5 linked regions of the Macaca mulatta genome follow. The protein of the gene in region 5 interacts with the protein of the main gene of each other region in a pairwise test. Links are inferred from orthologs where the notes say so. Each region holds a gene or a part of one and is shown on either strand. Other genes may lie near its edges. The genes, in order: ARMCX1, KIF9, AP1M1, ZBTB48 and ZBTB8A.

Evidence for each region.
Region 1: the proteins of ZBTB8A (region 5) and ARMCX1 interact in binary tests that used the Homo sapiens proteins (3 or more experiments, as listed by UniProt). The two-hybrid records come from large-scale screens. The link is inferred for Macaca mulatta from reciprocal best matches to the Homo sapiens genes ZBTB8A and ARMCX1.
Region 2: the proteins of ZBTB8A (region 5) and KIF9 interact in binary tests that used the Homo sapiens proteins (3 or more experiments, as listed by UniProt). The two-hybrid records come from large-scale screens. The link is inferred for Macaca mulatta from reciprocal best matches to the Homo sapiens genes ZBTB8A and KIF9.
Region 3: the proteins of ZBTB8A (region 5) and AP1M1 interact in binary tests that used the Homo sapiens proteins (3 or more experiments, as listed by UniProt). The two-hybrid records come from large-scale screens. The link is inferred for Macaca mulatta from reciprocal best matches to the Homo sapiens genes ZBTB8A and AP1M1.
Region 4: the proteins of ZBTB8A (region 5) and ZBTB48 interact in binary tests that used the Homo sapiens proteins (3 or more experiments, as listed by UniProt). The two-hybrid records come from large-scale screens. The link is inferred for Macaca mulatta from reciprocal best matches to the Homo sapiens genes ZBTB8A and ZBTB48.

Annotation. Positions count from the first base shown.
Region 1 is NC_133426.1:108,428,082-108,431,678, forward strand, and holds ARMCX1 (armadillo repeat-containing X-linked protein 1), read left to right. Parts: upstream 1-1,335; coding exon 1,336-2,697; 3' UTR 2,698-3,095; downstream 3,096-3,597. UniProt on the Homo sapiens protein: Regulates mitochondrial transport during axon regeneration. Increases the proportion of motile mitochondria by recruiting stationary mitochondria into the motile pool. Enhances mitochondria movement and neurite growth in both adult axons and embryonic neurons.
Region 2 is NC_133407.1:110,597,952-110,601,464, forward strand, and holds part of KIF9 (kinesin-like protein KIF9), read right to left. Parts: intron 1,783-3,513; coding exon 1,714-1,782; intron 1,184-1,713; coding exon 1,079-1,183; intron 1-1,078. UniProt on the Homo sapiens protein: Essential for normal male fertility and for progressive motility of spermatozoa.
Region 3 is NC_133424.1:16,678,052-16,682,203, forward strand, and holds the start of AP1M1 (AP-1 complex subunit mu-1), read left to right. Parts: upstream 1-1,339; 5' UTR 1,340-1,452; coding exon 1,453-1,494; coding exon of another isoform or gene 1,495-1,565; intron 1,566-4,152. UniProt on the Homo sapiens protein: Subunit of clathrin-associated adaptor protein complex 1 that plays a role in protein sorting in the trans-Golgi network (TGN) and endosomes.
Region 4 is NC_133406.1:234,203,595-234,207,870, reverse strand, and holds the start of ZBTB48 (zinc finger and BTB domain-containing protein 48), read left to right. Parts: upstream 1-1,466; 5' UTR 1,467-1,598; intron 1,599-1,988; 5' UTR 1,989-2,057; coding exon 2,058-2,747; intron 2,748-3,549; coding exon 3,550-3,791; intron 3,792-4,276. Other genes in the region: TAS1R1 (taste receptor type 1 member 1), read left to right, coding at 98-1,029. UniProt on the Homo sapiens protein: Plays a critical role in transcriptional regulation and chromatin remodeling. Acts as a regulator of telomere length. Directly binds the telomeric double-stranded 5'-TTAGGG-3' repeat.
Region 5 is NC_133406.1:208,282,117-208,285,629, forward strand, and holds part of ZBTB8A (zinc finger and BTB domain-containing protein 8A), read right to left. Parts: intron 2,832-3,513; 5' UTR 2,831-2,831; coding exon 2,008-2,830; intron 1-2,007. UniProt on the Homo sapiens protein: May be involved in transcriptional regulation.

The sequences.
Region 1 (3,597 bases), on a different chromosome or scaffold from region 5:
TTGGAGCAGGAAGAAACGCAAAGTTGTCAAGAACCAAGTAGGTCATAATAAGGGTGATGGCATTATTTGGGGGTGGAGCATGGTGGCGACTGCAACTCGAGTGGGCCCGTGGACCCCCTCCACATCTCCCTTCTTCCCTTCTTCCCTACACAATTTCGGATCTTGCAAAATAAATTGCTCTGCAGGTACAAGACAGGGAAGCAAATAGCTGAGAAGGGGTGGGCGTCAAGAGAGTCCAGGGGTTGGGAGGACGTTACTCCAAATTACTGTTTGAGGTACAGTGTCCTTGGTGTTGGTCCGTCGACCAAGCACTCACTTCTGAAGTTTGTTAGTCTTGAAGGTTTAGTGGAAGCAGAAACTGAGGTAAGGGAGGTAAGAAATTGCTCCCGAGCAGAGGTAGTTGGTATAACGACACGGCGGGGGTGGGGGGTGAGTGGGGGTGTCCTGGTACCTTTGAGATGGAGGAGTTGGTGGAGGCAAGGACAGAGTTGGAGACCTTTACACATTTCACGCCAGTCCGGCTTTTAGATATTCTCACTTCATTTTGTTACAAGGAAAATGTTAACAATGAAAATGTGTGGCGACATCTTCGGAGGATGCCAATGATAAGAGTAGGGGTGGAGGTGGAATGGAGGGTTAGAGGAATCATCGAAGGAGGAAGAGGAAGGGAGACAATGAATTCCAAAGCCGCACCTCGGTGAGGAGTGGAGGGCAACCGAAGGCGGGAAACATCGGGCAAGGCAGTTGTAAAGGGCTAGGAATTCAGAAGAGGGATGTATGTCCCGTCCCGGGTGATATCTGTATGTCCCCCTAGCTCTCGGCACCCCCTCCTCGCGTCCTTGTCTGCAGGTTTGCACGAAGCAGTGCCCTTGGAAGCAAGAAAGAGAAGGAAAAAACTGCCTGGACCTCTGTGGGTGCATGTGGGGGCGCCACTGTTCCCAGGACATCTGAAGGGCAGGATGGCAGGGAACTTTAACATTCTGGGGCGACGTGGTGGAACGTGAGGTTGGACAGTCTTGAAGTGGGGAAAATTTCCAAACTTAGCTTCCGGATGGAAGAAAGGAATCAGTGATCTAGATATTAAGCCCCGAGTTTGCCAATATATCTGTATTTTTGTACGTTTGTTTGTCTTGCCGTTGTTTCAGTCTGTTTGCGTGGCAAAGACACAAAAGGAGGAGGAGCCTGAAATCTGAACTGCATCCTTTATTCCTAGGTCAAGCTGCCTCAGAGCCGGCCAGCAGTAGCTGCAGACTCCGCCCGCGACGTGTTCGCGCTTCTCTGGGCCAGAGCGAGCCTGTTCTGTGCTCCGGTTAAGAGATTTGTCCCGGCTATACCATGGGCCGCACTCGGGAAGCTGGCTGCGTGGCCGCTGGTGTGGTTATCGGGGCTGGTGCCTGCTACTGTGTATACAGACTGGCCTGGGGAAGAGACGAGAACGAGAAAATCTGGGATGAAGACGAGGAGTCTACGGACACCTCAGAGACTGGGGTTGAGACTGTGAAAGGAGCTAAAACTAACGTTGGGGCAGGGTCTGGGGCCAAACTTCAGGGTGATTCAAAGGTCAAGCCTGAGGTGAGTTTGGGACTCGAGGATTGTCCAGGTGTAAAAGAGAAGGCCCATTCAGGATCCCACAGTGGAGGTGGCCTAGAGGCCAAGGCCAAGGCCCTTTTCAACACGCTGAAGGAACAGGCAAGTGCAAAGGCAGGCAAAGGGGCTAGGGTGGGTACCATCTCTGGGAACAGGACCCTTGCACCGAGTTTACCCTGCCCAGGAGGCAGGGGTGGAGGCTGCCACCCTACCAGGAGTGGATCTAGGGCTGGGAGCAGGGCAAGTGGAAAATCCAAGGGAAAGGCCCGAAGTAAGAGCACCAGGGCTCCAGCTACAACATGGCCTGTCCGCCGAGGCAAGTTCAACTTTCCTTATAAAATTGATGATATTCTGAGTGCTCCCGATCTTCAAAAGGTCCTCAACATACTGGAGCGAACAAATGATCCTTTTATTCAAGAAGTAGCCTTGGTCACTCTGGGTAACAATGCAGCATATTCATTTAACCAGAATGCCATACGTGAATTGGGTGGTGTCCCAATTATTGCAAAACTGATAAAAACGAAAGACCCCATAATTAGAGAAAAGACTTACAATGCCCTTAATAACTTGAGTGTGAATGCAGAAAATCAGGGTAAGATTAAGACGTACATCAGTCAAGTGTGTGATGACACCATGGTCTGTCGCTTGGACTCAGCTGTGCAGATGGCTGGGTTAAGACTGTTAACCAACATGACTGTGACTAATCATTACCAACATTTGCTTTCCTATTCTTTTCCAGACTTTTTTGCTTTGTTATTCCTGGGAAATCACTTCACCAAGATACAGACTATGAAACTAATTATAAACTTTACTGAAAATCCAGCCATGACAAGAGAGCTGGTCAGTTGTAAAGTACCATCAGAATTGATTTCCCTTTTTAATAAAGAATGGGATAGAGAGATTCTTCTTAATATCCTTACCCTATTTGAGAATATAAATGACAACATAAAAAATGAAGGGCTTGCATCATCCAGGAAAGAATTCAGCAGAAGTTCACTTTTTTTCTTATTCAAAGAGTCTGGAGTTTGTGTTAAGAAAATCAAAGCACTAGCAAATCACAATGATCTGGTGGTGAAAGTAAAAGTCCTGAAAGTATTAACCAAACTCTAATTTGGAGTCTGTCCCAAAGAGTATTGAGGTATTTGCACTTGGTACGATGTGTTTTGTAAATTCTTTGTTTTTCATTGTGAATATATGGTAAAGAGATCTTTTCAGCTGCTATTTTGGAATAATGACTATCATATATCATAACAGTGACTGATGTTGGTTTTAATGGTTGGGTTGAGGATGAACCATTTTAATGATGCCAAATGGAATATTAGTACTTGTACACAGAAAGAATTTATTGATTTGATCTTATTACCTAGATTGAGATATTTTTACTCTTTCCTCTACCTAAACTGACAATGAATTAGTTATACATCATGAATAAGCTACACTTTTATATTAGTTTATATTTGTTAATCTAAGACTTGTGTTCCATCAATAAAGTTGTGTTTTAAGCAGCAGAAAAAAAAGACATTGTCCTTGTCCTTCAGTTTATGATCTGTTTGGAAAGGTAAGATATATGGAAACTAAAACAAAGAGATATTAACAAACCCAGGAGACCATCAATGCTTAGAGGCAGCAGAAACAGCTGCAGGCAACAGTGCGCAAGGAAAGTTTTACAAAGGAGAACTCTTAAGTAAGCTGGGTTTGAAGGACAGGATACAAAAAGTCAGAAGGGCACTCAAGACAGGAGGAGGGATGAAAAGAAAGGCATGGAGATGGGAATCCTTCTCCAGAGAGAAGTGCTGACCTGCTGGAATGGTAAGTGTAGGGAGGGTAGTGATGACAGAGAGAGTCAGGCGGTAAAGGTGAGTCCTATTCATGGAGCACCCCTAACTGCTAAACTGGGGTGTGTGAATATTACTGCATCCACCCCTGGGAGACATCAAGGCCTTTTGTGATCAGAGGAATGACAAGATGAAAGGAAAACGATATGGTAGATTTATGTGCAACAGGAGTCCA
Region 2 (3,513 bases), on a different chromosome or scaffold from region 5:
GGCACCTAGAGGGACCAGGTTGCGTCTATGTTAGTAGAGAAATCAAGACCCCTTGGCTGACTCCTGGACCATCTGTCTCGAGAAGAGGACATTTGCACACAGCCTCTCAGCAAAGTGGCAGCCAAGCCCTTCTCCAGAGCAGAGAAACACCTGATTAATAATTTTAAAACTAAGTGTTTGCTGAGGCTATAAAAACCACCTTTTCTAAGTGAAGACCTCTATAAAACGAAATGATTCTATACCTTGAAAATACCTTCTAAAGTTTTTTATAAATAAAACGTATTTCCTCAGCTTTCTCTTCCAAAAGGCTCTGCCTGCTGTCTTCAGATGGAGCCCATTTATGGACCTGTCTGCATGGGCACAGACACGTACACATGAGGCCGGAGGAAGGTTACTGGCCTCCCCCCGGGCCTAAAGCCCACAGCATTCCCCTTGACCAAGGGTTAATCTGGGACTGCCCCTCCTATGAAGGCCAGAAGAGTCCATCCCTTAGTTGCCCCAGGCCTGCTTCTTGGAGCTGCCCATAGTAACAGACAGGGGGGTCTGCCCATGTCTCCAAGAAGAGGGGTTCGATGGACTGCACTGTGAAAACAGGATGCAGCCTCTTCCCCCTGAGGACCCTTCCTTGTGGGGCAGTTTCCCCCTCCTTGGCCCACTCCAACATGGGCCCTGGGGTCTACCTTGTAGACAACCAGCATGACCACCATCCTTTATCAGCTTCATTCTGCGGACACAGTCAAGCCACCCAGGTGCAGCAGTTCAGTTCATCACCACTCCGTTTCCCTCCCCACTAGGCAGGTAAGGCCACTGAAGTACACGCGGTTGAGTATTTTGCCAAGGTCACTCAGCAAAGAAGCAGCTGAGCTAGGATTCAATCCCAGAAAGCCTGGCTCTAGGGCCTGTGCTTGTGCCCCTGAGATGAGCTGAAGGGTCCCTGACATCAAGAGTCCAGCACCACCCTCCACCCACTGCACCCATTCATGTGAGGTTCTGAGGCTAGCAGAGCATGCGTTGGGGTGTGCCCAGGATAGGGAGGTCCAGGCTGGCTCAGCACAGTGGTCACAGACGGGTTCCTTACATCGATCTCGTCCAGCGTCCCCTCCAGGTACCTCCGCACCTGGGAGTTGATCTCAGCAATCTGGATTTCATCCATGGCTTCATAGGTCACAAAGGTGCGGTTGGTCTTGAAGGAGGATGAAGAACATGTGGATAAGCAACAAGAACCCAAGCCCATGCGGGAGTGGCAGGGGCCATTCTGAGAGGCAAAGTAGGGAGGCTGGGCACAGGCCCTGGCTGACCAAGCTGGCTCATTCCCTTCATCATCGGGTCCTGCCAGAGGGCCTAACACACAGGCCAGGTGCTTGAGTCAGAGATGGGTAATGGGGTCGGGGAGGAAAGGAAAGTCCCTCAGACATGGGGCCTGCTACTCCAGACAGAGGCTCTGCTGCCTGAGTCCCAGCAGACTCTGCAGCATAAGAACCGCGAGGACGGGAGGCATGCGCTGCCTCTGGCTTGAGGCCCCTCAGGACCACCGGAGGACTCTGCCCCCACCCCCTGTCCTCATGGCCCCTTGCTGCTGCCCCTTTCCTGCCACTCAGCCTGCCCCCTGACCCCGCCTACTACCGGCCTTGACCCATTATGCTGTCTGCCCCTAGCCCCAGTCGCCCCTTATCCCAGCACCTCTGCCCTCCTTCCTTGCCTCTAGCCTCTTACCAGGCTGTCATGGATGGCCAGTTCCTGCTTGAGCAGTGCTAGTTCCTTCTCCAGGTTCTTGACCATTCTCTGCCGGGAAACATGGTAGGGTGGGGGCCAACAGGAAGGGTCATCAGAGAAGCTACCCTGTCTCTTCCACAGCAAGAGCACAATTCTTCATTCTGTGCCCAGACATCCCGGCCATTCCTGGATCCACAGGGTATGCTTTCAGCTTCTGTCGATTACCTCCCCACTGGTGACTCTTCCCCAACTGGGGTGAGTTCAGGGTCTGGGAGGACCTGAATAGTACCCTGGCCTTTGCTACTGCCTCAAAAGAGACAGCACAAGCTACAGGGCCACCTCAAACCCCAACTCCCAGGGGCCCCAAGCTTCTTCCAGTCTACCAGGATAATGGCCCTTTCGGTGCAGCCTATAGACTCCAGAATGCCTTCTCTTTTTTTGAGACAGAGTTTTGCTCTTGTTGCCCAGGCTGGAGTGCAATGGTGTGGTCTCAGCTCACTGCAACCTCCGCCTCCTGGGTTCAAGCGATTCTCTTGGCTCAGCCTACTGCGTAGCTGGGATTACAGTTGCCCACCACCACACCCAGCTAATTTTTATAATTTTAGTAGAGACATGGTTTCACTATGTTGGCCAGGTTGGTCTCAAACTCCGGACCTCAGGTGATCCGCCCACCTCAGCCTCCCACAGTGCTGGGATTACAGGCATGAGCCACCATACCCAGCACCAGAATGCTTTCTTTTTAGAGACAGGCTCTTGCTCTGTCCTCCAGGCTGCAGTGCAGTGTCACCATCATGGGTCACTGCAGCCTCAACCTCCTGGGCTCAAGCAATCCTCTCACCTCAGTCTCCTGAGTAGGTCATGCTACAGGTACACACTGCCATACCCAGCTAATTTTTGTAGAGACAGGGGTCCCACTATGTTGCCCATGCTGGTTTCAAACTCGTGGGCTCAGGCAATCCTCTCACCTCGGACTCCCAAAGGCTGGGATTACAGGTGTGAGCCATCGTGCCCGGCCTCCAGGATGCTTTCTATGCATGGTTATAACCCTCATCCTTTTACCCTCATCCTCACCAACCACTGCATGAACATATCACCACTCCCCAATGATAATCATGTATGTCACCTCTTATTTTTTATTTTTTATTTTTTTTTGAGATGGGGTCTCGCTCTGTTGCCCAGGCTGGAGTACAGTGGCGTGATCTCGGCTCACTGCAACCTCTGCCTCCCAGGTTCATGTGATTCTCCTGCCTCAGCCTCCCGAGTAGCTGGGATTATAGGCATACACCACCACGCCTAGCTAATTTTTGTATTTTTAGTAGAGACGGGGTTTTGCCATGTTGGCCAGGCTAGTCTCGAACTCTTGACGTCAGGTGATCTGCCCTCCTCAGCCTCCCAAAGTGCAGGGATTACAAGTGTGAGTCACTGTGACTGGCCTCACCTCTAATTTTTTGCTGCTTACAAACAATGCTGCAAGAACATTTTTGTACTCATATTTATGTCCTTAGATTTCTGCAGAAAAACACAGCGATCTATGAGGCTTTTGAGATCTGCCCCCATTACCTCTTTTCTGCTTCTCTTCCCTGGTGCACTCCAACCACTTCCACAAATTGGTATGCTTCTGCCTCTGCATTGCCTGTCCACTGCCCTGGAATTTTCTTCTCCTAGGTATTTCCAAGACTCATTCACTTACCTTCTGAAAATCTTTTTTCAAAAGCTTCTAAATTAGGTACACCACAATTACTCTTTAAAATTGTAATTCCAGCCAGGTGCGGTGGCTCAGCCCTGTAATCCTAGTACTTA
Region 3 (4,152 bases), on a different chromosome or scaffold from region 5:
CTAAGAATTCCTTCGTTATCTTGTCATGCTCCAAGGCCCAGGAAAAGCCTAGGCACAATTCTGGGTGGGCTTTTGTTACATCCCAGCCTTTGTACAAGGGCACTGGCTCTCTCGTCTTTTAATGTTTAACTTAACCCTTGTAATCCCAGCACTTTGGGAGGCCGAGGTGGGTGGATCACCTGAGGTCAGGAGTTTGAGACCAGCCTGGCCAACATAGTGAAACCCCGTCTCTACTAAAAATACAAAAATTAGCCGGGCGTGGTGGCATGTGCCTATAATCACAACCACTTGGGAGGCTGAGAGGCAGGAGAATTGCTTGAACCCGCGAGGCAGAGGTTGCAGTGAGCCGAGATCGTGCCACTGCACTCCAGCCTGAGTGACAGAGTGAGACTCCATCTCAAAAAAAAAAAAAAAAAAAAAAAGCAAAAAGCCTCTCTTGGCTGCTTGCTCTGTGCCTTGTGCAAGAATCCTTCCAGCCCAGGATCACTTAGTAGTCCTCAAACATTCTAGTTTGCTTTTCTAGAGGTTCGGTCACATTTCTATCCTAAGACTATATAATTACCGAGTTGCAAAAATCATCTTTCCAAACGCCAAAACGGAGATAGGAGGGAAAATAAAAGATGTGAGAGGCAGGCATCCTGGGTAAACCACTCTGATATTGCAGGGTTGGGATCCCCAGGGTACTGTGATGGCTAACTGGAACAGAATGCAGGTATTTCTCCAAAGCCCAAGATTTCATAAAAGCAAATTAGATATGATTCAATGGATTAATCAAGGGCCACCAGTTGCATTACCGACTACTAACTTTGCAGAAATGAAACACGGTATGCTGGGTCAAGGTTCAGTGAGACTGGTTTTCTTAACATTCCAGGCAATAAACAGGCATGCTCATTCACTGATAAGTTGACAATGACAGGTGGTGACTGTTGATAAGGTCTGATTGCCATTCAGAAAGTTTGACCTCTTTCCAAGTAACCACGGCCTTACCTCTCCCTTTTGAGCTTATCACAATTGGTGACTGTACACTTGTTTCATAGACTTCCCCACTAGACTGTGAGCTCCATAGGGCTGGGTCCCAGGTCGGTTTCACCACCAGGCTCTCTCGCCTAACTCGGCCGACGGGAGGCGGTTTTCAGCTGCTCTGGCTCCATAGCTCAGCCTGGCAGCGGCCAGTGGGTGCCCTGATTTGGTCGGCCCCGCCTCCCAGGGCCTTACTTCCGGGAGGCTTCAGGCGGGAGCAAGAAACATGGTCACATACAACGTAATGCGCCTGCGCAGAGTCCGTCCTGCGCCTGCGCATTCCTGGCAGCTCCTCCCGGACCGGACATAACGGTCCCCGCGCGGCTCCCCGAACCGGAAGTGGAGGTGAGCTGTCGCGGGCGGCGCCCGGCCTTGCTCAACGCCTGGCAGTCCCCACCGTCGCTGCCGCTGCCGAGGCCTCCTGCAGCCACCATGTCCGCTAGCGCCGTCTACGTGCTGGACCTGAAGGGCAAGGTAATGAAGGCTCCCCACCCTCCCTGTTGCCAGGCAACCGGCGGGGGCCTCCGCCCGCGGGGACCCACCCTGTTGCTAGGTAACCGGCTTATGAGCCCCACCCTGGTGTGAGGCAAAGAGGCCGGTAGACCTCACCTGAGAGCCCCACCCTATTTCTGGGTAACCGGGCGGGGGTCGTAAGTGGGTAATCCACGCCCTGTTGCTAGGTAACGCGGTGGGCTGCAGCCACCGCGTTGCCAGGTAACCGACTGCACCGCCCTCTGCTCCCAGGCACCCGGGCCAGAGGCTCTGGGCTCGGTGGAGGACCCAGAAGCGGGGCCGCAGCCGGCCTTGGAGCCAGGCAGGGTGTCCAGGGGCTGCGCGACCCTTGGCCGGGGGTGGCGAGGCGTGGCGGGGACTGGGTGCTCTCCAGCCAGTCCCGCCCTCTCAGGGCGTTGCAGCTTCTGTTTATCGTGCACTTTCTCTCAGGAGGAATTTCTCCATGTTCATTGCGATAGTGAGTTACAAGGGTTAGGTGAGTGGATGGTGATCACGAGTACCGTTTTATAGAGGGAGAAACTGAGGCACGGAGAGGTGAAGTAACCTGACCAAGGTCACAATGGTCACAGAGAAGTAGGAAGTCTAGGAGTCCGATCCAGAAGCATTTGTTTATTTAGCTGATATCTGGGGAGCACCTACTAATGCCAGGCAGGATAGTAAGCCTGGGGTCGATTTGTGTTTAGCAAAAAACAATCCTGCTTTTTTTTTTTTCTTTTTGAGATAGTGTCATGCTCAGTCGTCCAGTCTGGAGTGCAGTGGTGCGATCTCCACTCACTGCAACCTCTGCCTCCTGGGTTCAAGCAATTCTCCTGCCTCAGCCTCCCAAGTAGCTGGCATTACAGGCACCTGCCACCACGCCCAGCTAAATTTTGTATTTTTAGTAGAGACAGGGTTTCACCATGTTGACCAGGCTGGTCTCAAACTCTTGACCTCAAGTGATCCAGCTGTCTCAGCCTCCCAAAGTGCTAGGATTACAGGCGTGAGTCACTGTGCCAGGGCTCAACAATCTGTGTTCTTATGACGTTCACAGGCTGATTGGGGAGATGGATACCGATCTCCAAAAACACAAATAAATGTCAGTTGCAGTGGGGGGGTGGGGCGGATGTGTTATACAGATGGTCAGCCTCAGCCGGAGGATGAGAGAGGGTTTTCCTAAGGAGGGGTGACAAATGGACCTGAGATACCAGGGAGCTGGACATAGACTAGAACCCGGGCATCTTCCCCAGAGGATCTGAGAAAACTGAAAGAAGGGATTGTCCCCGCCTTTTAGAAATGGTCCTCTGCCTTCTCCCAAGTCCATCCCAGGTACAAGGCAAGTGGCTGCCTGGCCTGTTGCATGTGGAAGCAACAAGCACCGGTCCAACAATGTTAAACCCAACATTGGTCAGTGAGAGAAACAAACGTGGGTGTCAGGTCCTAGGTGAGGCGGGCAGGGGTGAGCCCTAAAGCAGCTGAGAGTGAAGAGGTGAAGTGGCTGCCCCTTCCTGTCCCACCCCACCCCCACACTTTCCTGAAGTCCCTTGAGTGGGTGCCTGCCCTGGAAGCCAACCAAAGCCAATAACTGATGAGATCCAGTGCTGGGTTTCCTTCCCCCACCTTCTTGGAAGCAGGGAAGACACCCGTCTTAGATCACGCCAGGGGCTGGGTGTGTGCAGTGTACCCTGAGTCCTGGTGGCATGAGTCTTGCTTCCGCCCTGGCCACTGCCTCCCCAGAGGTGCCAGCGGGCTGCCTGTCTTGGCTGGCTTATTCCTTCAGCAAACATTTCATGAGCACCTAGGATGCACCCTGTCCTGTGCCAGGCATAGGGTGTCCATTGGCACCGTGGCTGTGGTGTTAGGGCTGAGCTCAAAACCCATCTCTGCTGCTCAGCTGTGTGACCTGGGACAGGCACCTTCTCTCTGAGCCTCGCTTTCCTCACTGGTCAAAAGAGGCTTTCATGGAGTTATTGTGCAGATTTGCCGAGCAGATGTGTGAGACAGGCTCAGCACCACCCATGGTCCATGTTAGCTTTCCCAGGCCTCTCGGTCTAGCAGGGGAGTCCTCTAGAAGCAGAGACATTACCACACAGTTGGATCCAGGCAGCCACAGGGGCAGGAACAAGGTCCCAAGTCCTGCAGTTGCTCAACCTCGTCTTTAGCCAGTGGAAGGTGGAGGTGGTTATGAAAGGCTCCCTGGAAGAGGGCAACGCCGGAAGTGGGTTTGGAAGGTGATCAGGCACGATCTGGTGGAAAAGAGGTATTGCAAGGGGCAGCCTGCTGGGGCCGCTGAGCCAGAAGTCCTGGCTAATGCTGAGATGGGAGAGAGGGACCAAGGGGACCACTTCATTTCCAACAAGGAGCCACCGTGAGGAGACCATAGCCCAGAGAGGCATGATCAGACCTGCCTTTCAGAAAGCTCCCCAAGGCAGCCATGGGCTTCCCTCCCTCCCTCTGCAACCATGATGCCCTTTCTTATTCCACAATCCACGGACCTCCTGTTTCCAAAGTCGGCCTCGTGAGCCGACTGCATTTCATCAAAAATAAAGCACACTGAGAAATTCGTGGCCACGTGTCTGGTCACCGAGGACACTGGCGTGGCCACACTGGGCTGGAAGGAAGCTCTCCTAGTAGGAAGCTTCT
Region 4 (4,276 bases), about 26 Mb from region 5:
GCCTGGGTACAATTCTCCCAGTATCTTGCAGGCCCCTATTTCCTATTCCTACTCTGCTCATCTGGCTCTCAGGAACCTTCTTGGCCTTCCCTTTCAGACCTCTACAGATGCCAGCCTTGTGGGAAAGAAGAGTGGGCACCTGAGGGAAGCCAGACCTGCTTCCCACGCACTGTGGTGTTTTTGGCTTGTCAAGAGCACACCTCTTGGGTGCTGCTGGCAGCTAACACACTGCTGCTGCTGTTGCTGCTTGGGACTGCTGGCCTGTTTGCCTGGCACCTAGACACCCCTGTGGTGAGGTCAGCAGGGGGCCGCCTGTGCTTTCTTATGCTGGGCTCCCTGGCAGCAGGTAGCGGCAGCCTCTATGGCTTCTTTGGGGAGCCCACGAGGCCTGCATGCTTGCTGCGCCAGGCCCTCTTTGCCCTTGGTTTCACCATCTTCCTGTCCTGCCTGACAGTTCGCTCCTTCCAACTAATCATCATCTTCAAGTTTTCCGCCAAGGCACCTACCTTCTACCGCGTCTGGGTCCAAAACCATGGTGCTGGCCTGTTTGTGATGATCAGCTCAGCGGCTCAGCTGCTTATCTGTCTAACTTGGCTGGTGGTGTGGACTCCACTGCCCACTAGGGAATACCAGCGCTTCCCCCATCTGGTGATGCTTGAGTGCACAGAGGCCAACTCCCTGGGCTTCATACTGGCCTTTCTCTACAATGGCCTTCTCTCCATCAGTGCCTTTGCCTGCAGCTACCTGGGCAAGGACTTGCCAGAGAACTACAACGAGGCCAAATGTGTCACCTTCAGCCTGCTCTTCAACTTCATGTCCTGGATCGCCTTCTTCACCACGGCTAGTGTCTACGACGGCAAGTATCTGCCCGCGGTCAACATGCTGGCTGGGCTGAGCAGCCTGAGCAGCGGCTTCGGCGGGTATTTTCTGCCCAAGTGCTACGTGATCCTCTGCCGCCCAGACCTCAACAGCACAGAGCACTTCCAGGCCTCCATTCAGGACTACACGAGGCACCGCGGCTCCACCTGACCAGTGGGGTCAGCAGGCATAGCTGGTAGCTTTCTCTGTCCTGAGGGTCGAAGGTCAAGCAGGCCAGGGCTGTTTGGGAGGCCTTTGGGCACCTCAGTCTGGGGTTGGGACGTGTAAGCGCCCGGGAGAGCCCAGACCAGGCTCCGGGCTGCCAATAAAGAAGTGAAATGCGTATCTGGTCTCCTGTCGGGGAAGAGGGTGAGGTGCCGCGGATTCAAGTCTGAACCCAGAACCTGGAAAAGGCTTGGTGCCCAGCTTGACGTTGCTAGGCAACCCCGGAGGCGGGCCCAGCGCCAAAAGAACAGGGCGTGGCCTCATCCCCTCATCCCATTGGCCGTTCTCTGCGGGGCCCCGCCCTCGGGTGCCGGAGCTAGAAGATCTACGCTTCCGAGGCGCCCCTCCTGGCCGGCACGCTCTGACGTCACGTCCGGCGCGGAGACGGCTGCGTCTCCGCACGGTCGGCGGGGCACGCATAGCCGGGCAGTTGGTTCGTGGGCTGTGGAGGCGACGGAGCCGGGGGCTGGTGGGGCCAGCTCAGGGAGGACCTGCCTGGGTGAGGAGGGCACGAGGTGAGGGAGGGAGGGGCTGCGGGCCGCCGTGGCTGCCTTCCGCTCGGCCGCTCGGGACCTGTGGGCGCGGCGTGGGCTCCGCTTACCTGTCCGCGGCCGCCGTCCTCCCCAGTCCAGGATCCTCTCACTGTGCCAGGCCAGTCAGTTCGCGCTCATCCCGTGCCTTCTTTCCCCAAACTTGGATTTTTCCCACCAGGCCCTTCTTCATGACCCTGACCCCCCCATCAGCATCCCCCCTGGCCAACCCAATATGGCCCCCGGTCCCCGGGAGGCTGTCAAGTATGTTCCTGCCTTCCGCGTGCACCCCTCACCTTGACCCAAGCCCTCGTGCTGATAAATGTGATTATTTGAGTGGAGGCCAACTTCCCCTTTCTCTCTCTTCGACTCCAGGGGCTTTCTCTTGCATACGCTCGCTTGGGCTGGCCAGGGTGTCACTTCTGCCTCCCTGCCCTCCAGACCATGGACGGCTCCTTCGTCCAGCACAGTGTGAGGGTTCTGCAGGAGCTCAACAAGCAGCGGGAGAAGGGCCAGTACTGCGACGCCACTCTGGACGTTGGGGGCCTGGTGTTTAAGGCGCACTGGAGTGTCCTTGCCTGCTGCAGCCACTTCTTCCAGAGCCTCTACGGGGATGGCTCAGGAGGTAGTGTCGTCCTCCCTGCTGGCTTCGCTGAGATCTTTGGCCTCTTGTTGGACTTTTTCTACACTGGTCACCTCGCTCTCACCTCAGGGAACCGGGATCAGGTGCTCCTGGCAGCCAGGGAGTTGCGAGTGCCAGAGGCCGTAGAGCTGTGCCAGAGCTTCAAGCCCAAAACTTCAGTGGGACAGGCAGCAGGTGGCCAGAGTGGGCTGGGGCCCCCTGCCTCCCAGAATGTGAACAGCCTCCTCAAGGAGCCGGCAGGCTTGCAAGAAGAGGAAGTTTCGAGGACTCTGGGTCTAGTCCCCAGAGATCAGGAGCCCAGAGGCAGTCATAGTCCTCAGAGGCCCCAGCTCCATTCCCCAGCTCAGAGAGAGAGTCCCTCCTCCCTCTGTGGGAAACTCAAGCAGGCCTTGAAGCCTTGTTCCCCCGAGGACAAGGAACCTGAGGACTGCAAAATGCCTCCAAGGCCCTTCGAGGCTGAAGGTGGCCAGCTGCAGGGCGGGAGTAATGAGGTACTGTGCCCAGGGTGCTGGGACTGGGGAGACAAATGGAGGGAATAGACACTTTTTTTGGTATAATAGGGACCCTGGGCTGGGTGTGATGGCTCATTCACGTGAGTGGTTCAAGTGGAGGACGACAGGGATGGACGAAGTCTATTTGTAATCCTAGCACTTTGGGAGGCCAGGGTGGGTGTGGATCACTTGAGCTTGGGAGTTCGAGACCAGCCTGGGCAACATGGCGAGGCCTCATCTGTACAAAGAAAATACAAAAATTAGCCGAGTGTGGTGGCACACACCTGTAATCCTAGCTACTTGGGAGGGTGAGGTGGGAGGATCACTTGAGCCCAGGAAGTGGAGGTTGCAATGAGCTGAGATGGTGCCACTACGCTGTAGCCTAGGCGACAGAGCAAGACCCTGTCTCAAAAAAAAAAAAAGTGGACCTTAAGACAATCTCTGTTAATGTGGGTTTGGAACGGGCTTTCTCCAAACAAAGGAAGCTGGTGATCTCAGGCTGACCTTTCTGCAAGCCCCAGCTATTCATGGTTGCCACCTTCCTGAGAGGAGTGGGCAGCATCAGGGTTACAGGTGTTTCCCCAGGATAGTGTTTCCATCCGAGCTTCCAGTTCCCCACAAATACAGTCACTTTCCTCTGAATCCAAGACTCAGATGCTCTGCCTTGGGCCCCTGAAGGAACAGTGTCTGATGAAGGGACTTGTCAGGGTTGGGGCTTGGGATGGAACTGGAGCTGGGTCCCTACAACTCCTGCTGATTCATTTGGTGACCCCACCCCCTCCTGCTGCCTATTGTGCTCTAGTGGGAAGTGGTGGTTCAAGTGGAGGACGACGGGGATGGTGATTACATGTCTGAGCCTGAGGCTGTGCTGACCAGGAGGAAGTCAAATGTAATCCGAAAGGCCTGTGCAGCTGAGCCAGCCCTGAGTGCGGGCTCCCTAGCAGCTGAGCCTGCTGAGAACAGAAAAGGTACAGCGGTGCCGGTCGAATGCCCCACATGTCATAAAAAGTTCCTCAGCAAATATTATCTAAAAGTCCACAACAGGTAAACTTTCTGTTTTTCTATTTTCCTGTCTGCCATTCCCGCGTTGGGGGAGGGGTCTTGCACGTCCCACTTCTGGGTGAGGTAGGGGCTGGGGGATCCATCTCAGACCCACATAGTGCCTGGCCTTGGCACACCTCTGGCAATCAGGAAGTGAGAGTCTGCTTTGGGTTAGATTCTTCTTCCTCACTGTCCTGTGAGTACTGTGGTTGGAGATGGGTTTGTGGACATCTTGTCAACAGGTTCCACCCACTGTGGACCTTGACCTTCAGCTGGCCTCTGCGGACAGAATGAGAAACCTGTGGCCCGTGTGCTAGAGCTGAGGCCCAACCTTAGGTGTTTCTGAAGCCCGGCAGTGTGGGCTTGAAGCCTGGCAGTGTGGGCTTTGGGCCACAATGCTGAGCCTTGGGTCAGTGCTACCTGTGTTTCCAGGGAAGTGTTCACTCTGGGGTGTCAGTGGAGTATTAAAGTCCAGTTGTCTAAACCTT
Region 5 (3,513 bases):
ACCCCGTCTCTACTAAAAATACAAAAAATTAGCTGGGCGTGGTGGCAGACGCCTGTAATCCCAGCTATTCCGGAGGCTGAGGCAGGAGAATTGCTTGAACCCGGGAGGCAGAGGTTGCGGTGAGCCGAGATTGCGCATTGCACTCCAGCCTGGGCAACAAGAACAAAATTCCGTCTCAAAAAAAGAAGAAAAAAAATGTATTTGTATCTTTTTTTTTTTTTTGAAATGGAATCTCCCTCTGTCACCCAGGCTGGAGTACAGTGGCGTGATCTCAGCTCACCACAACCTCCACCTCCCGGGTTCAAGCAATTTTCCTGCCTCAGCCTCCTGAGTAGCTGGTATTACAGGCGTGTGCCACGCCCAGCTTATTTATTTTGTATTTTTAGTAGAGACAGGGTTTCACCATATTGGCCAGGCTGGTCTTGAACTCCTGACTTTGTGATCTGCCTGCCTCATCCTCCCAAAGTGCTGGGATTACAGGCGTGAGCCACCACGCCCAACCTGTGTTTGTATCTTAATAAGCTAAATATTCCTCTGAGTAAATACACAGAAAAAAAAAAGACTATTTAAAAGTGAAAATATCGGCCGGGCGCGGTGGCTCAAGCCTGTAATCCCAGCACTTTGGGAGGCCGAGACGGGCGGATCACGAGGTCAGGAGATCTAGACCATCCTGGCTAACACGGTGAAACCCCGTCTCTACTAAAAAATACAAAAAACTAGCCGGGCGAGGTGGCGGGCGCCTGTAGTCCCAGCTACTCGGGAGGCTGAGGCAGGAGAATGGTCTAAACCCGGGAGGCGGAGCTTGCAATGAGCTGAGATCTGGCCACTGCACTCCAGCCTGGGCAGAGCAAGACTCTGTCTCAAAAAAAAAAAAAAAAAAAGTGAAAATATGTGTCTTAGAGATTGAACTATTTAGAAAAGAGCTTTAAACATTTAAGAGTAATCTAACCACCCACAGATACAGGTTTGAAAAATCATGGGTTCTGCCGGGCGCGGTGGCTCAAGCCTGTAATCCCAGCACTTTGGGAGGCCGAGACAGGCGGATCACGAGGTCAGGAGATCGAGACCATCCTGGCTAACATGGTGAAACCCCGTCTCTACTAAAAAATACAAAAAACTAGCCGGGCGCGGTGGTGGGCGCCTGTAGTCCCAGCTACTCGGGAGGCTGAGGCGAGAGAATGGCGTGAACCCGGGAGGCGGAGCTTGCAGTGAGCTGAGATCCGGCCACTGCACTCCAGCCTGGGCTACAGAGCGAGACTCCGTCTCAAAAAAAAAAAAAAAAAAAGAAAAATCATGGGTTCTGACCCTTAGTACTCTTATTATTTGGATTGTCATTATATTTATTCAATATTATTTTGAATAAATCCACGTTTTATGAAACAAATTTCTTCTTCCTTTTTTTTTGAGACACAGTCTCGTTTTATTGCCCAGGATGGAGTGCAGTGGTGCAATCCCAGCTCACTGCAACCTCTGCCTCCCAGGCTCAAGTGATTCTCCTGCCTCAGCCTCCTGAGTAGCTGAGACTACAGGTGTGCACCACTATGCCTGGCTAATTTTTTTTGTTTTTTGAGAAGGACTCCTGCTCTGTCACCCAGGCTGGAGGGCAGTGGCGCAATCTCAGCTCCCTGCAACCTCCGCCTCCTGGGTTCAGGTGATTCTCCTGCCTCAGCCTCCTGAATAGCTGGGATTACAGGCACATGCCACCATGCCCCGCTCATTTTTTTGTACTTTTAGTAGAGATGGGGTTTTGCCATGTTGACCAGGCTGGTCTTGAACTCCTGACCTCAGGTGATCTGCCCACCTCAGCCTCCCAAACTGCTGGAATCACAGGCGTGAGCCACCACGCCTGTCGTTACTAAATAAATTTCATTACAGAAATAGAACTTTTGAAAAAAATCAGTTGCTTCAACTGCTTAGAGCACCTGAAACTAAGGGTGTTTTGACAGAAGACCGATTTATATAGCACTTTGGAACCTAGAGGAGGGGACTTATGCCCTTCTTGGGTACCTGGAAAACTTTTGGATGTGACATCAGATCCTTGACCGTACTGATAGCCAACAGGAGGAGAGTCCATTTCAGCATCAATCTGTGCTTGTTCTTCAGACTGGGAAACATGGCTGGAAGAATCAGATGTTCGTGCTTCTCGTTTGCTTGACTTATAATGAGTAACTTCAGAAGGCTGTGACATTCTCAAATGTTTGGTCTTTTTAATGGACTCTTTCCTTGGTTCACGCTTGGCCAAGGGTTGTTGAGTATTCTTCTGGGAGGCTGGATGATAATTATACTTATTCCAAGATTTTCCACTTATTATACCTGCTCCTTGCTCTGGGCTTAGGTGAGAACGTGGAGAACTGCTTCCTTCTTGCCAGCCACCACTATAAAAAGAGGAACGTTCTACACCATTAGAATTGGCATCTTTATCTGAGAGACTGAAATAGCGATCTTTTTCTTTCTCACTAATGTCTAAGGAAGATTTAATAAAAGTCTTACATACACTTATGACATCAGTCATCTGAAGGAAGCTAGCAGCCGACATTACTTCTATGACATTCTGACCAGTAAGAGACAGTTTGCCAGAATATACGAAGTCCAAGATAACTGTAAAAGTGTCAGGGGAGAAAGCCTGAAATGTAGCTGTGGTTGGCTGACTTGTCTCTTTTGAATTCTGAGAAAGAAGCATTTTAAAGTAGCCGCTACTAGCAAATAATACATTTCGATGTGCTTTGAAGACCTTCCCTTCAACTAGAATACTGCAGTCACAAAATACATCTTGCCTGCGCTGCTCGTTCAGTTGCTGCAGGAGGTGAGACTGATGAGAGGAGATCTCCATTCTGAAGAGGAAAAGACACGTGTGGTTACCAAAACCTACATTACAATTATTTTATTTTGTTTTGAGACAGGATCTTGCTCTGTTGCCCAGGCTGCAGTGCAGTGGTGTGATCAAAGCTCACTGCGGCTGGGCACAGTGGCTCACTCCTGTAAGCCCAGCACTTTGGGAGGCTGAGGCGGGAGGATCACCTGAGGTCAGGAGTTCGAGGCCAGCCTGGACAACATGGTAAAACCCTGTCTCTACCAAAAATACAAAAATTAGCTGGGTGTGGTGGCGGATGCCTGTAATCCCAGCTACCTGGGAGGCTGAGGCAGACGAATTGCTTGAACCTGGGAGGCAGAGGTTGCAGTGAGCCAAGATTGCACCACTGCACTCGAGCCTGGGCCACAGAGCAAGACTCCATCTCAAAAAACAAACACCCAAAAAACAAACAAACAAAAAATGCTCACTGCAACCTTAAACTCCTGGTTTCAGTGATTCTCCTACCTCAGCCTCCAAGTAGCTGGGACTACAGGTGTGCACCACCATGCCTGGCTTTTTTTTTTTTTTTAATAGAGATAAGGTCTCGCTATGTTACCCCAGCTGGTCTCTAACTCCTGGACTCAAGCAATCCTCCTGCCTCAGCCTCCCAAAGTGAACAATCCTTTTCTAAGGTGAGTCAACTAAAATAATAATCAGAAGCC